2 linked regions of the Lepisosteus oculatus genome follow. The protein of the gene in region 2 binds, or shares a complex with, the protein of the main gene of each other region. Links are inferred from orthologs where the notes say so. Each region holds a gene or a part of one and is shown on either strand. Other genes may lie near its edges.

Region 1 (7,331 bases), on a different chromosome or scaffold from region 2:
AGTTAAATGGTGTACAATAAAGCCATTAATACCTATTTAAAATGTAGACTTGCTTTCGCTCGTTATTGATAGGCTTCGGGGCTTCTCCGCTTAATTTTATATCCCCCTAATAAATGAATTAAGGCAGAGGACATCATAAATAATTATTATCTCGTCCGGCACAAAATGAACTTCGCGCTTGAAACGGTTTGCGGCACCGCGCTTGTTCTGTGCGCGATTTGAAAACGTGTCGACTGGAACACTTGTAGGCGTCTTAGAAACCCGAAGGTGCCGAAATCGAATTCGTGTTGGTCCTCAGACCCTTCAGGGACTCCCCACCTTAATTCGTCCATTCACCCCGGTGGCTTTGAAATTTCCTTTCGTACTGTACGCGTATGCACACTGTGTTGTTTTATTCACTGACAAGGTTTAAAGTATTTTGAGTTTACAGAACATTCTCTGTTTCAGTTTGTAGAAAGGTCTACGTTAAACAACATGGGAACAAGCAATAGGTTTATTCCAGGCTGAAAAGAGAAGAAAGAAAACACAACGTTTCGGAGCCTTGTGCAGGTGTGTTAAATGACATGTCCTTCTTTGCTGATTGATCACGGTGTACAGTGCGACAAGGAAATAGGGAAGAAGTCTTGAAGAGAGAGCTGGAAATGTAACTTTTAAAAAGAGAATATCCGTCTCCATTCGTTTCCATCCTTTCAGTGTCTAACCACACTTTCACGAATCCAGTTAACGATTCCTCTGATGTCGAAAACATCTTGTGAATCTCGCACAGCGTGTGAAAGGACAGTCGCTTTCCCAGCTGCTGCGCACAACCGGGGCTCTCCGGTACGGTAGCAGCAACTTCGAGGCGACGGAAAGAAACGTCTCACCTGCGTCAAACGTGTCTCTCCAGAGGAACGACAGCAGCGCTGCGCACACAGCTGTGGTGACCAGGATAACCTTAACAGGTCGATTCATGGCAAAGCGTTTAGGGGGAGGAAAAAATATGTAACTGCAGTCGCCCTGAGACCAAACCTCTCCGGACCTCTTCTTGCAGATCTTCGCTTGTCCTGCAGCTCGAGCGCTTGTGAGGGTTCCGAGGAGAGAGGGGGAGTTATGACGCCGTCAGGAAGTGGCAATTCTCTATCGCAAACACGCAACCAACTCAGCGCGTCTTTAAAAAAACAATCACCTGCATTCTTACCACCCTGGCTTAGCACAGACATTATTTTGATCAGCACACATACTATTGCATGAAAACACTCGATTCGATTGTACAAAAAGACAGGAAAAGCCATTAACGTGTGGTTTAAAGTGAATATCCACCGTCCGGTAAACTGATAGAGAGGTTAGCGTTCGTGTGCGCTTTAAAACCTTTCTGTTCGGTTGATGGCAATTACTGTGGTCTAACTCTAAAAACACGTCTTTCTCAAAATGAAAGCAACGGGCATTGATCTGGCACATTGCGAACGCACTTATTTCCACTTCAATCATATATCTTTATATGATTGATTTGGAAAAAAAAACATTTAGGGTGCACAGTTTTCTCTTTACTTGTTCTTTCGCAGCCGACAAATGCTGACACAGGACCCTACTCGATTCTGGACCGATGATCAAGTTTAGGATGCATCATTCCAGTGGAAATGTGAATATACAGTCATATGGCAGAATAGATACTGGCCACCTAACTGACTTGTTGCTCTTTTGCAAGTACTTGTCAACATGTATCACAAAGCTTTGACCTTGTTAATACAGCCCTGCTTGATATTCATATTCTGAGGCACTGGAACTGACTCAAAGCCATCAAAACTTTCTGCTTCTAGGCAGTAATGTCGGACCTGTGCAATTGTTCCAATAATTCCACACACTCTGTAATGTCTCTAACTTTGAAGCGTGTGAGCAATGTCCTCTTCAGTAGTTTGCAATAGTACAGCAAACAGGTAAAGCAGCGAGGAGAATCGTGTAAAAGACTCTATTGGTTTGTGTCTGAGACAGATTTTGTTTTGTCTCAATTGCTTCCAAGTACGTCTCCTGTATCTATAACCAGAGTGACTTTTGAGCCCCAGACTAAGAGAGTGATCCTGCCTCAGCCTAGCAGGTTCAATGTCTTGCCTTGACAGTGACCATGGGGGGGGGCGGCACTCAGGCAGTCATCACATTGACACTTGAGCACCTTTTTAAACCCACAGCTATCACTTAAAAGAGGCAATTGACAATATTGCATTGATTAGTAAACGAGATTGATCTGTTTTTCAATCTATACGGTATTTCCAAGACCTGGTCTAGTTCCTGGGGACACAGGTTAGATTTATATTAACATTCAGGCAGTTGAATTGTCTGCGGGAACATTGCATGAACAATACATTGCTTTTATAAATATAATACAGATTCATTCTGTACAGTCATGTCCTCAATTCAACTTATAAATCAAGTATCATCTACTATTACTGTAATTAATCATATGTAGAGGATTTAAAATCCCCTTTGTTATAAGGTTTTGTTGTCCAAATATTTTTATTGTACAAATACAGCAGCTTTAATAAGCAATAGCTAATTTTCCATTCACAGTGAGGGTCAATACTAATCAGAACTACCAATGATTAGCCTCTTCATGATACCAGCACATGCACTGAAATGAGGAAGAATGCAGTGTGTTTCATTTTCTAATTGACAGAGTATTCGCAAGTCTTCCCTCCTTTTTGGGGTTATATGATTAAAAATAAGAGTTCCAGCGTTCCCTTGTGCAAATCTCCAGAGCTCACACACTGTCGATGGCCACAGCTCATCACTGATAACAAGACTGTGCTTAGTGCTGTTATGGTCACATCTAATACACTGTCCCTCCTTATCTATGAACTGCAACCTTGGAGAGGATAATTGAGAGACCCAGCAATGTATTTGAGATTCAAAGCTCTTCCAAATTCCAAATATACCAATACCAGCCTTTCCTGTGTCTGTGGTTATTCCCTCTGCATGATCTACTTAGCAACAGCTGTGATTTTTGAAGGCAGTGACACAGTAAGAATTAGAATCCAAGAAGCAGCCCTTGTTTTGTAATGGATCATGTTTCTAGAACCGTCCGGAAGAGTGGCATGACAGTTAACACAACTTCCTCACAGGTCTAGGGTCCTGGGGTCCATTCTGAAGCATCGTCTGTGTGGAGTTTGCATGGTTCCCCTTTGGCGTTTTTATCTGGAGCTCCCCCCACACACACACACCTTCCAAAGACACACCAGTTAACATAGCCGGCATCTCTCGGTTGTTGCCTTGTGCAGGTGTGAGCGTGTCGAGCAAAGAGCAGCGTCCCCACAGATCTGCAGTCCCACCTCCAAATGCCTGTTACATTCCCCGAGTGGAACAAAACTCCACACCTTTCATGTACTCAAGCCAAAGCAGTTGTCTCGTTCAAATCGCCCTTAATACGGAATCGGTTAAGAACTGGAAAGAGGAGAAACAAAAAGCTCACGTCTTAAGTATTTACATCATTCTTGCCGCCAGTGAACAGGTGCGTGGAGGAAACTCCCTGCTTGGTATTTTTACTCCCTGAGTGAAGTGAGGCGCTCCTGATTCGACTTGCTGCCCTCCTGGTAGTCACACAGTTAAAACTCTTTGTTTTGCTTCACGTCTCCGAATCGTCTGTGTGTCTAACCAGTGACAGGCTGTTGGCAAATCGTGTACCGATAGTAGCGTTTTGCACATTATCACGTTGAAACCTACTGGGAGATAAAGGTTAGCTTGAAAAATGAAAACAAGTTAAATGAATCGATCCGCTTTTCTTACCCAACGTGTTAGGCATCCGTAAAATCTAAACATAATTTATTTTACAAATAAAATAGTGACTCAAAGACTCAATAAACCGATTGAATCTGTATTAGAACGGTAAATTAAGGAGTCAGGAATGTTTACCTTGTAAGAATTTGATATCATCACAGTTACAACACGCTGTTGCTTTTTATTTTGTTATATAATTTAAGAGTAATTCCTTATTCATTTTAGTAACCCAGTATGAATTTGGACAGGAACAGTTCATAGACAGGTTTTGAGTATGTAATGGTACGAGTTCAAGAGACTGTAGTTCACTACAGAGTGAGGGTTGCGCACAGCCTCACGGTGAGAGAATCTGTAAAGGACTACATTTCCCAGAACCCACTTGCAAAGATTAGTGCGGTCTTCGATTATGCATGTTTGAAGAAGTCTCTACAAAAATAAATGTTGAGAATGCATATTAATTGAGGGAAAGAATTATGAAAGTCCTAAATTTAAATAATCTTAATTTGAAAGAATCTGCTTTGTCCGATGTAAAACGGTAACCTCTAAAGGGGAGTCGAAGGTCATCTTGAAAAAACTTTATTGAGATATACGGCAAACACACATTGGTACTGCCTTCTCGATGTCCTTGTAAATGCGAATGCAGACTACGGTTTTTAAAACACCTGGGCTGCAAATATATTCGTTTATTTAACAATCCGTTTCTGCTCGGTCATTGTTACGTTTGTTTCTACTTCGTTTTTGGCTCATGGCTCCCAGGATTTTCCCATTAATAAAGTAAGTTGATTCCTCCGGCCTCCTTGTGACAGCACTATACAAAGTTCAAGTTTCAATGTATGTCAATTTTTTCTGCTAGTTGCTGTGAAAATAATGTCACGATCCATGTGTAGGCGGTGAAATCTAGTACTACGTAGATGTGAAATAAACTAGCAGTGAAATTCAAGCTCGGCTGTTCTGAACATGACTTGAAAGTGCGTTTTCTTTTAATCGTATCTGTATACAGTCCTTAGTGATAACAAACTGTGCGTTAGCGGTGTAGGTTTAATGCTCAGTTATAGCAGATTTGTTAAACTATTGCTGTGAAGTAGTGATATATAAAGAAATACCAATTTAAATAACTACGCCATGGAGCTGCGTTCCTAACTCCTAAACTGCACACATCTGTGAACACGCCCAAATTACACTTCCAATTAACCCCCCCTCTGAGTGGTGAGGACGCTGGAGAACTAGAAGTCTCCCTAGCTTGGTTGAACCTAGATTTACCATTACAAATTAGGATTGTTTAGCAATCAAGTTCAGCATCATATTGAAATTATGTGCTGGGATAAAGCATATTAGGAAAATCTCACCCAGCCAGTTTTTAAAAGGATTTCAATATCACCATGAGAAACAGACCTGGATGCTTGTTCCAGACTCCCACAGCTCTTTGTGTAATGTGGCACTTTCTGTTGTCAATCTTAAATGCACTTACCCTAAGATTCAATGGTTGTCTTGTTAGTTTTTTGGATAAAAGCAACAGGGTGACACAGTGGTTAGCAGGGCTGCCTCTCAGAGCTGGGGTCCAGGGTTCAATTCCTAGGGTTCTGTCTGTGTGGAGTTTGCATGGTCTCCCTGGGTTTGCATGGGTTTCCTCCCACAGTCCACTCCCACTGGTAGGTTAACTGTCTCCTGGAAAAATTGGTCTTGGAGTGAGTGAGTGCGTGTGTGTTTGTCCTGTGATGGACTGGCATCCTGTCCAGGGTGTACCCTGCCTTGCGCCCAGTGCTTGCTGGGATAGACTCTGGTTCTCTTGAAAACCCTGTACTGGCTAAATCAGTTAGGAAATGGATTGATAAAAGCAACCCGTTGTACGTTCTCATTCAATCCATTTATTAAAAACAAAGGCTTTCATTTAGATGTTGTGTGGTTTGTCTGTGGCATGCAGGCTGGTCACCAAGGTGGGTGTGGCCGGCGGGGCAGTGTACGTGGCCTATGACCAGAGGTTGCTGGGGGACAGTGTCCAGGGCTCAGAGGTGCTGACCAAGGCCAAAGCTGCCATCCCCCCTGCTGTGGACGAGTGGATGAAGTACTTCGGATGGGAGGTGAGGCCAAGATCTTGTGTTTGTGCCGACATACTGGGTGCTTGTGAAGCAGCCAAGCACTGGTGCGGTTTTACTGTGCCAGTGTCGTGCAGTGCTGTATTTTGGCTTTCATGATTTCTTTTAGAGAGATAAGTCCCATCTCCGAACCCTCAGGTGTAGGGCACAGCCCTTGTGTTTCGAAAAACATCTTTCATTCCTACGTAATCAACATAATTATCTGGATAGGAAGTATAATTACTCCGGTTTTGAAGGCCCACTTTTTGGTGGAAAAGTCCCACATCCAGCACAAGAGATCAACTCGGGGACTGTATTAAACATTAACAGAGGTGCAGGAAGTAAACTTCCACCAAAAACCCTGGGATCACAAGACCCCGAATCAAGAACTGACTAAATAAAGTTTGTGATTCGGAGACAAGGTCCTTTCTAAAGGCTGTAACTAGCTTTACTGGTGTTGGTGCTGAGAGGCTGTTGTCGATGCAATGTTTAACCATCATGTTCTCCTCTTCCCTTATTACTGCAGCTTCCTTCTCCTCCCAAAATAGAGTTTTCCGCTTTGGAAACGTGGAATACCGGTAAGAGCTTACGTAGTGCAGGAATGCTACAGCAAACAAACTCTCAGTTTTTCTAGTTTTGTGTGTACTAGCAGGTTCATCCTTGATCTGGAAAGGGGGAGCAGTCCCAGTTTCCCAGACCGGTTATTGAATCTCGGTAACCAAATAAATTCAGTGACAGTATAGCAAAACAAAAATGTACACATTTTGAATTGGGCACAAAAAGTGTGAACTTTGTGAAAGTGCTATAAGTAGCCATAGTGTTGCAAACCCCAGGTCTCGGCACGGGCGAGAGCGAGAGTTCACGAGAATTCTGACACGGGGAGGCCCTTCCTGCTCACTAGTCCCTGTAATGACTGATGTGATTTGTGAGCGAATAACTACAGGTTGTGCAGCAGACATTTCACCCCCAGGCATCTTCCCAACATGAGTTAACGAGTAAGTCTCATTTATCGGCAAAATCGTCTCGAAGTTGAGAGCAATGTCTCCATGGGATTTAAAGAGACGTACCCACAAGCCTGCTGGTTTACAACGTAAGGGAGCTGCAACACGGCGCCCTGCCTCGTTCTGGATCGCAGAACATGGCGCTGCGCTCACCTGGAGCTTTCGGGGAATTTTGTGAAGCGAATTGGAGGTTTTACAAGTTACTGTGTCCATCTGACTTTCATTGCGGTTTGAAGTGCGCCCATCAATGGCGATTCTTTCTAAAACAGAAATAGAAAAATGGTGCTGCCGTTCCCCTTTGAGTGGCTGAATGCTGTCAAACAGGCTGCAGATGGGAAGGGCTCGCTGGCGTTCTGACTGACGGACAATCCCATGCCCGGCTCCGGCTATCCTGAGTGACCGCGTCTCCCCGTTTTCTTCCAGGCGTTCAGAAGCTGACGCAGACCCTCTCCGTCGCCCCCACGCGAGCATGCGAGTACACCAGCCAAGGCTGGCAGTACATGAAGGGCCTGGC
Region 2 (7,721 bases):
TAAGAAAGCACCACGAGGAGGAAGAACTGGCTGGAACATTGCTGAAATGTATTTAGGGTAGTGGAAGAATTTCCCGACAGTATACTTTTTGTGTACAAGGGGTTTCTGAACAAAACGCCACAGGATAGCTGGTGAAAGACAGTACAGTTCTGTGTGTAGAGGACTAAGGCCTTGAATGGAGTCAGAGTGTGAAATTTATAGTTTGGAGTGCGTAGATGAATAGTGAGGGTTCTCTGGTCATCGTGGCTGGGTTTTATATCTTCTCGGGTGTGCAGGCAGGTGAGGCCATGCCCAGATCATCAAGGGAAAGCTGTTTAGTCCAGGAGTAGAGCCTCTCCGCCTCTTCCTCCCACTCTTCTTCAGAGAACCGGGCTTCGTCTCCGGGGATATCCGCTGGAATGACGTCCTGGAGCTCAGCAAGGACCGCCACATGTGGAGAAGCCCGCTCCTCCTCATCCTCCTATGGGAAAGATATAAAAAGGTTGCTGTGACCAAGCTGGAGTGATGAAGACTGTGCCTTGTGTTGTGGGCCGGGCAGGAGGTGGGGGCTGACCACTGTCAAGGCTCCATGGAGGAGCTGCACTCACATGGCAGCAGTGGGGGCGTTATGACCTCAGAAAGGCACAGGAGGTCAAATCCGGACTGAATTCCGTTATGAAGTGAGGTGTGACAACTTGGGGTACCTCAAGGGCCCTCTGTGAGCGGGGCTGCTTATAGATGCACCACTGTACAAGTAAAAAGGGTGTTGGAGCTAAACTGAAAGCAGAATCACAGAAAATGGCCCTGCGGCCCTTCTCACCTTCCTGTCGCGCTGCAGAGAGTACAGATCCCTCATCTTGGCAGCTGTGTGCCGGGCTCTGCTGGACCGCCGGGACGAGGGCTTGGCACTGACGGGCTGCGGCGGGCCGGGCCTTCTCGCGGAGGCGACCGAGGAGGGAGGGACTGCAGGGGATCTGCGGAGGCAGGGACACGCTCATGTGGGGGACACCCTCGGCCCTCAGCTGGCAGCTTCGACCCCCCAAAAGAAATAAGACTTGATAAGCTTCATCGTGGGTCTGAGATTATACAAAAGGTTCAGCTATCCAATACTGACAGCCACCGAGACACGTCTGGGAGCAAACAGGACAGACCAGTCAGTTTTACTACCTGGAACACTAGGACTGTCCTTTAGCTTCTCACAAAATAGTCTTATAATGGGATTTCAGTTAGCACCAAGGAATGACAGTCTTATCACTGGCAGTGATGCAGGGCTGCCCAACTGCCTTCTATAAAATGCTTTCTTGCTTTGTTTTTACTGCAAAAATACCCTTTTAAGCAAGTTTAATACAAAAATACCCTTTTAAGCAAGTTTAAGTGCATGCAGCCCATTTCTTTATTTGCATTTCAGCAACCATAACCTTCAGCTGCTGAAAGGAAGGCCAGTCCGCGGTCCTACCTGAGCTGCTGAGGGGGCCCAGGCTGGTTTGGTCCTGCCCTGTTGTGCCACAGCGCCCCCAACAGGGCGGGGTCTGCAGGGCATGCCAGGGGAGTTCTGCGCAGCCCCTCCAGAGACAGGGTCCTCCAGGTGTTCTCTCGTCCTCCCAGGCACGCCGGCGTCTCGTCCAGGTGGCTGTTGTACTGCAGACGGGAGGTTTGCTCGGTCAGGCCTAGTCTTTCCCGCCCTCGCCGCTGTTCTTTGAAAGCAGGATGAGCTCAGCGGCCAGAGCGCAGCAGGGCCGGGCCCTGACTTGCACGCGCGCTGTATCTCGCTCCCGCTAGACGGCGGAGACTGTACTCCACCTGCATGTAGTCTTTCGCGCACGTGACGTCGGCCACGTCCACTATCCTCCACCTCGCCCGCTGGGCGTTGTCCAGCCTGAGCTGGCTGAAGAAGGCCCTCCTGCCCATCATCCTGCAGGCGTCGGACGCGGCCTGGGGGGGAGAGAGGGAGACCAGGGCGAGATGGGCGTGCGCGGCGGGGCGCTGGGGAGGGAGCGTGCTCTGTGGGAGCTGGATTACCTCGCTCGCCGGGCGGATCGCGCTCCCACTGAAGTATTTGCTCCCTCCTCTGTGGTGAAAGATCTTGAACACAATCACAGGAGGGAACTCTGAACCACAAAACCTGCAATTGAAACCCAGGACAGGCTCAATTAGAAGCTGTTTCGATACTTTCCAGTTTAATACTTAATATTATGTCCTGCGTGTTGTTTGCTCTGTAGGTAGCTTCAAATCCAAACTCAAAACTTTACCATGGCCTGTGTCTGATTGCCCTACATCCTATCTGTATGAACCTGCATTCTTTTACTTTTTCGTGTATTTTTTGTCTTTTCCTTTATCACCATGTACAGCGTTCTTGGGTTTGGAAAGGTGCTTCATAAAAAAGTTATGACACTTCTAAAATTAAATGCAAATCGCAATGTAATGTGATTCCAAAATGCTTTGGTCTTAAGACCCGGAAGGTCTGGGCTGATCCCAAGTTCTACTCGTTTTGAAGTTAGAATTAAAGTGCCACATCAATAATAAGAATAAAGCACACCCAACAAGTACTGAAAAGTGTTTTCTGCTCGTTTCCCGTCACTGGCTCCTGTACGACGGTGTCTGGTGTTTGCCCTTCCACACCCCCTGCAGCTGTGGGGCGACTGTGTTCAGGCCTACAGATCAGGGTTACAGCCCTGCTGGTTCACAGTGTCGTCTGCTGGTTCGACTCGTTCACCCTTCCTGGATTGTGCAGTCGGTTGGCATCAGCCACGCCGTGAGACGGGTGCGTTTTACCCTGCGGACGATGTCTGGGTGCACTAGCTATCCTGCTCGGTACGAGAGGACCCGCAGGTTCAGCCGGGGGGGAGCCGGAGTCTGTGGGATCACGTCAGGCGCCTGTAGCCCCCGCAGGGGGACGGTACCTGAAGCGGACCGTGCACTGCAGGCTGGGGTCCCTCAGCAGCTCGGCCTCGCGGGGGCTGACCTTGCGCAGGACCTCTGGGGTCAGGCAGTGCTCCTGGGGGACGGACAGCGCATCACACAAACCCTTCCCCACCGCGGACCCCCGCAGCTCCATCTCCACACCAGTTTCATCCTCAACAACAGAAGGTTTCTTTTTCTGTGGGCAAACGCACTAGAACTAATCGTAAATATATATTAATATATCTCTCACACCTGAAGAAGGCTCCACGGCCGAAACGTGTTTGTCTTTTTTTTTTCCGGCATGGAATAAACCTATGACTTGTTCCATACTTATATTAACACATAATTGACCCAGTTAAGAACATTATTTTTTTGTGTATTATGTGAAATCGTCCTGGTCAAGAGACTTAGCCCTTCACGACACACATACTGACTTCACAAGATCGCTCAAGCAAGCAAAATCAAGTTATTTCGGCAGGGCCTCACTTAAACCTCTATTTGTGATCCTGTTTGCAGTTAATCTTCCTTTACCCCCTGCCCCCAATCCTAGAACTACTCTCTCTCTCTCAATTCAATTCAATTCAAGGTGCTTTATTAGCATGACCGATGGGTACAATCAGTGTTGCCAAAGCAAATAAAAATAATAAAATTAACATAGAACAAAACAAAAAATAGAAGTAAAATAAAATCTACAGACATGTTACAGACATTTACAACAAAGACATATTATATAATATCGACATATACATTCTCTCTCTCTCAGTATACATTCTCTCTCTCTCAGTACTTGTGCTGCAAACGTTGAACCGTTTGCAGCAGAAACCTAGTTGTAACGACCCTGAAGCGGCACGCCAGCGCCAGGGTTTGATTTAGCCGTGCGTGACTTCAGACAGGGTCCGGCTGGACCTCACAGCGGCGCGCCCTCCCTACCGCCGCGCAGACCGTGTGCTTCAGCAGGCGGAACAGGCGCCGGTCCCGGTGCGAGCGCCAGCGCCGCTGGATCCTGCGGGCGGCGGCACCGAGGTCCATGTGGTCCATGTGGTCGTCTGGGGAAAGGACAGTGAAGGACGCACACGGGGAGGAACGCAGTTCACTATGGAGGCAAACAGATGCAACCACACTCACGGAACGGGCAAAGGTTTATTTCACGCAGACAGGAAAGGAGCACACGCACAAAGCCCTGCAGTCCAAACGGGGTGTCTCTTCTCTTTCCAGCGTGGCATAAACCAAGACGCAGCGCGAACACTTCTTCGGCAATAATAATAGTTGCTGAATCATAATATGAAATACCTTTCCAATGATGGTAAGCACAGCCGGTCAGAGCACAGCTAAAAACTGATAGCGAGCTGTGCTTTTTTTTTTAAGAGGATGCCTTTTTAGTTATCACCAGTGGTGACACGATGTTACCCACTGTACGTCTGCTCGGGAGACTGTTACCCATTCAGATCCGACTTGTTTTATGTATACTACAGAACGTCCTATATACGGGAAAAAAAACGAAAAATAAGGATATGAATAGACAAAAACGCCTAAGAAAAAGAAAAATATCTTTCCGGATCGGAGAAAAAAAAAACTATTTCGTAGGTCATTTAACACAATTCTCCATTAAAAAAAACTAGCTAAGTCTTAAAGAGAAACAGTGCAAGCGAGTACTTACATCATAAATGCTAAACGGTTGAACGTGCCCTTGGAAACGTTCTTCTATAATTTCCCTACATGTCTCGAATAAACATAAGGGGTGCTTTGCGCTTTGCATTAGTTTCGGGGTCCTGGGTGCGCGCAACCTCTACGCTGCGTTTGCGTGTGTTGCTAGGGGATACAACCTTGACGTGTCGGTGCACCTGTGATCGGCGGCCAGGCGGGGGCGCTGTGTAGCCAAGGCGAGGCCGTGCGCGGAGGAGGTGTGTCCGTCTTCGGCCGCCGTAGGACGTATCGCATGGCGCCGCCGAGAAGGACTATGTACAAGGTGAGAACAAACTTTGCCAAAAAATATATGTCTATTCAGTCGTACTGGAGATGCAATCCAAGATGCTATGTCCTCAAACAGAAGCATTTTAAGGAGCTTTTCTAACTTTGGGTTTTGTAATAAAGTGTCGTGTTACAGTGGAAGTCTGAGCAGTAGGGCGGTACAGCACAAGAGAGGGTTTTAGCCATGCTGGTAGTAAGATACCCAAGAAGGACGTGCTTTAATGCTTGCAGAATTTGCCAGTAACGCAGTTCCCAACCCGGCCTCGTTTTGATGCTTTTTGATAAGTATTGACCAGCAGTTGAAAATCGTGGGCTTGCGCCTTTGTCTGTGTTATCTCGGAAGGTGTTCATCTCGCCATCGTTTTTCATCCCAGCTATGTTGAGGACCCGGAATCCCAGTTCTTCCGGATCTGGCCGCCTAGATGCTTTGAAATAGATTGAGACTCGTTAGCTTGTCGCAAAATATCACCTGACTGGTGCCGTCCAGGTTTCGGTTTTACAGCTGTAGGGACAGGAAGTTAGTCGTTCCTAGCTGTTTTTCCTACACTTGTGTGACACTGGCTGGCTAAAACACTTAGCTCAAAGAGCGTTTTTAATTTTAACCAGAAATCTACAGTGTATCTCGTCGGAGTATTGCTCTATTGGTCATTCCATTTGCTGCCTCAGTAACAACTACCTGCTTTGGGGGCGAGTCATGCTTGTGACGGTGGCGGTGACTGGACCAGCGTGCAGGGAGAGAGCTGAGGCTGTCCAGCTTTGTGTGATTGAAACTCTCCTGCCTGACACTTGCCCTTGTTAACACTGTTCGGTTATAGCCTGGTACCTGGTTTTCTTTCTGTCGATCGCCGTTGTCTTTCCTTCATCGCGTTGTCTTCTGCGCAGCAATGGCCTGGGTCTCTTGGCCAAGCTCGTCGTCGTTGACTTAGAATTTGTTCTCAGCCGACATATCTCATTAAATAAAGGATTAAAACGGAGCGACGTTGCCTTGTTGTTGCTTTTCCACAAGGGGCTCGGATGACACATGCTACTCTACGCTGGTGTAGAAGGAGCAGCTGTAATGGGAGCTGATTTTGTTACCCAGAGATACGCTGTGATGTGTTATCGCTCAAGGGTTGTATCAGATTCCTTCTCGAAAAGACTTATTAAGCTGCTGCTGCAAAAGGATACCACCTTGAAACTGTAGGCCATCAGAACCTCAGTATGTAGAGAATTGAACTCGCAAGGCTTGCTACAGTATATACAGCAGATAGGGATGATAACATGCCGGCCTGAACTATGAAAACAACACAGAGGCAGGTGTGCCTGAGCAACAGAGGGTTTAAACAGGATTGAATTCTGCCTCAAGCCAGCGTGTTGCAGTCTCAACAACTCCCCCCACTGCGTGCCTGACCCTGTTGTATTCATCTGTGAACAAAACACACCTGTGCTGGAAAGGCAAGCCATTATACCCTTTTTTACAGAAAACCATACTTATCAATCTTTTACACACCAAGAAATAAAAGATAAAACATTTAAATTGTATCCATTAAAGCTTGATGCATGTTACAGGTGCAGCTCTAAATTGTAATTCGCTTGTTGCGTCTTACTTTGGGGCTAGGAGATATTTTTTATTCTTCTTGATCTTAGTGTGGTTTTGATACGGTAAATCATTCATATTTGTCTATCAATGCTACTGTCTTAAACATGTTTCACTCTTGTCCGACTGGTAGGCAGTGTTTTGTTTGTCTTGGTCCTTGTAAATCCCCCATGGCCCCAAGTCGATCACGGTGTGCTGCAGGGTTCAGTCTTGGGCCCTTCGCTCTTTATTACTTACATGCTTCCTCTTGGGCAGATCGTACACAAACATGGTCTTCAGTCTCACTGTCACGAAGATGCTATTCAGATTTACGTTAAAACTTCTTCCTCTTCTGATCTCTGTCACTTATCTCTTGCTCTAACTCACTAGGGGTATCTAAATCTACATTGAATGAACTCCAGTATGTCCAAAATTTTGGACCTGACCAGGTCTAGTGCAAGTGATCACATTACTCCTATCCTGGAGTCCCTGCACTGGTTTCCTATCCAATTCCATGTCATCTTTAAAAGCCTGATGCTCACCTGTCTGATCTATTATCGCCCTACTCCCCACCTCACAACCTTCGCTCTTCTAATTCACAACTGCTATCTATGTCTGATTCTGCCTGCTTGATTCCTGCATTTATAACACCAACGCTTGATTTCTGCTGCTCTTTACTCTGTGGCTCCCTAACACTCTTCTCCGTAGGTTGCACTACAGTATGTCCAAAACTGCAGCCAGATGACTGACTCACACCAGACCCTCACAGCACATCACTCCTATTCTTAAATCTCTTCACTGGTTGCCCATAAAGTCAAGTATACAATATAAGATCTTGTTACTGACTTTTAAGGCTGCAAATTGTCTGGTTCCATCATCCATCTCTGAACTCCTCCGTGGTTCCACTCCCTCCTGTTGGCTCCGCTCAGCTGAGGCTGGTCCTGTGCTCACTGTACCCAGGAATAAATCTTGTTCTTTTCAAATCTAAACTCAAGGTAAAACTCACATTTTTACTAGGGCCTGCGTCTGATTGCCTTGCAGTTTTTTCTTGTTTCATTTTTCTTGCTTTTTCTTGTATTTTTTTCTCCTTTATCACTATGTACGGCGTCTTGGGGTTTGCAGTGGCGCTTTATAAATGCGTTAGTTTGAGAAAACCAGACCCACGTTTTGCGGTTCTCCTGGTGCTGTAAGTATATATTTTGTCCGCTAGGGGGAGATATTGTCGAGGCTCAGAAACATACGAAGTCGGGGTGTTTTCAAATGTGAAACATATTGTGTTTTACTGTCTGGAGATCGGCGAGACCGTACTGCCGGCGCC

What was found. The genes of interacting proteins can lie anywhere in the genome.
Region 1: apooa (region 2) and micos13 share a complex: the UniProt entries of both Homo sapiens proteins name them as parts of the mitochondrial contact site and cristae organizing system (MICOS) complex. The link is inferred for Lepisosteus oculatus from reciprocal best matches to the Homo sapiens genes APOO and MICOS13.

The regions. Positions count from the first base shown.
Region 1 is NC_090724.1:7,890,525-7,897,855, reverse strand, and holds the start of micos13 (MICOS complex subunit MIC13), read left to right. Parts: upstream 1-4,313; 5' UTR 4,314-4,489; coding exon 4,490-4,518; intron 4,519-5,665; coding exon 5,666-5,822; intron 5,823-6,342; coding exon 6,343-6,394; intron 6,395-7,240; coding exon 7,241-7,331. Other genes in the region: hsd11b1la (hydroxysteroid 11-beta-dehydrogenase 1-like protein), read right to left, coding at 864-951. UniProt on the Homo sapiens protein: Component of the MICOS complex, a large protein complex of the mitochondrial inner membrane that plays crucial roles in the maintenance of crista junctions, inner membrane architecture, and formation of contact sites to the outer membrane.
Region 2 is NC_090700.1:4,357,839-4,365,559, forward strand, and holds the start of apooa (apolipoprotein O, a), read left to right. Parts: upstream 1-4,717; 5' UTR 4,718-4,816; coding exon 4,817-4,846; intron 4,847-7,721. Other genes in the region: c5hxorf58 (uncharacterized protein CXorf58 homolog), read right to left, coding at 254-460, 800-953, 1,436-1,668, 1,780-1,911, 1,999-2,101, 2,880-2,974, 3,811-3,973, 4,538-4,542. UniProt on the Homo sapiens protein: Component of the MICOS complex, a large protein complex of the mitochondrial inner membrane that plays crucial roles in the maintenance of crista junctions, inner membrane architecture, and formation of contact sites to the outer membrane.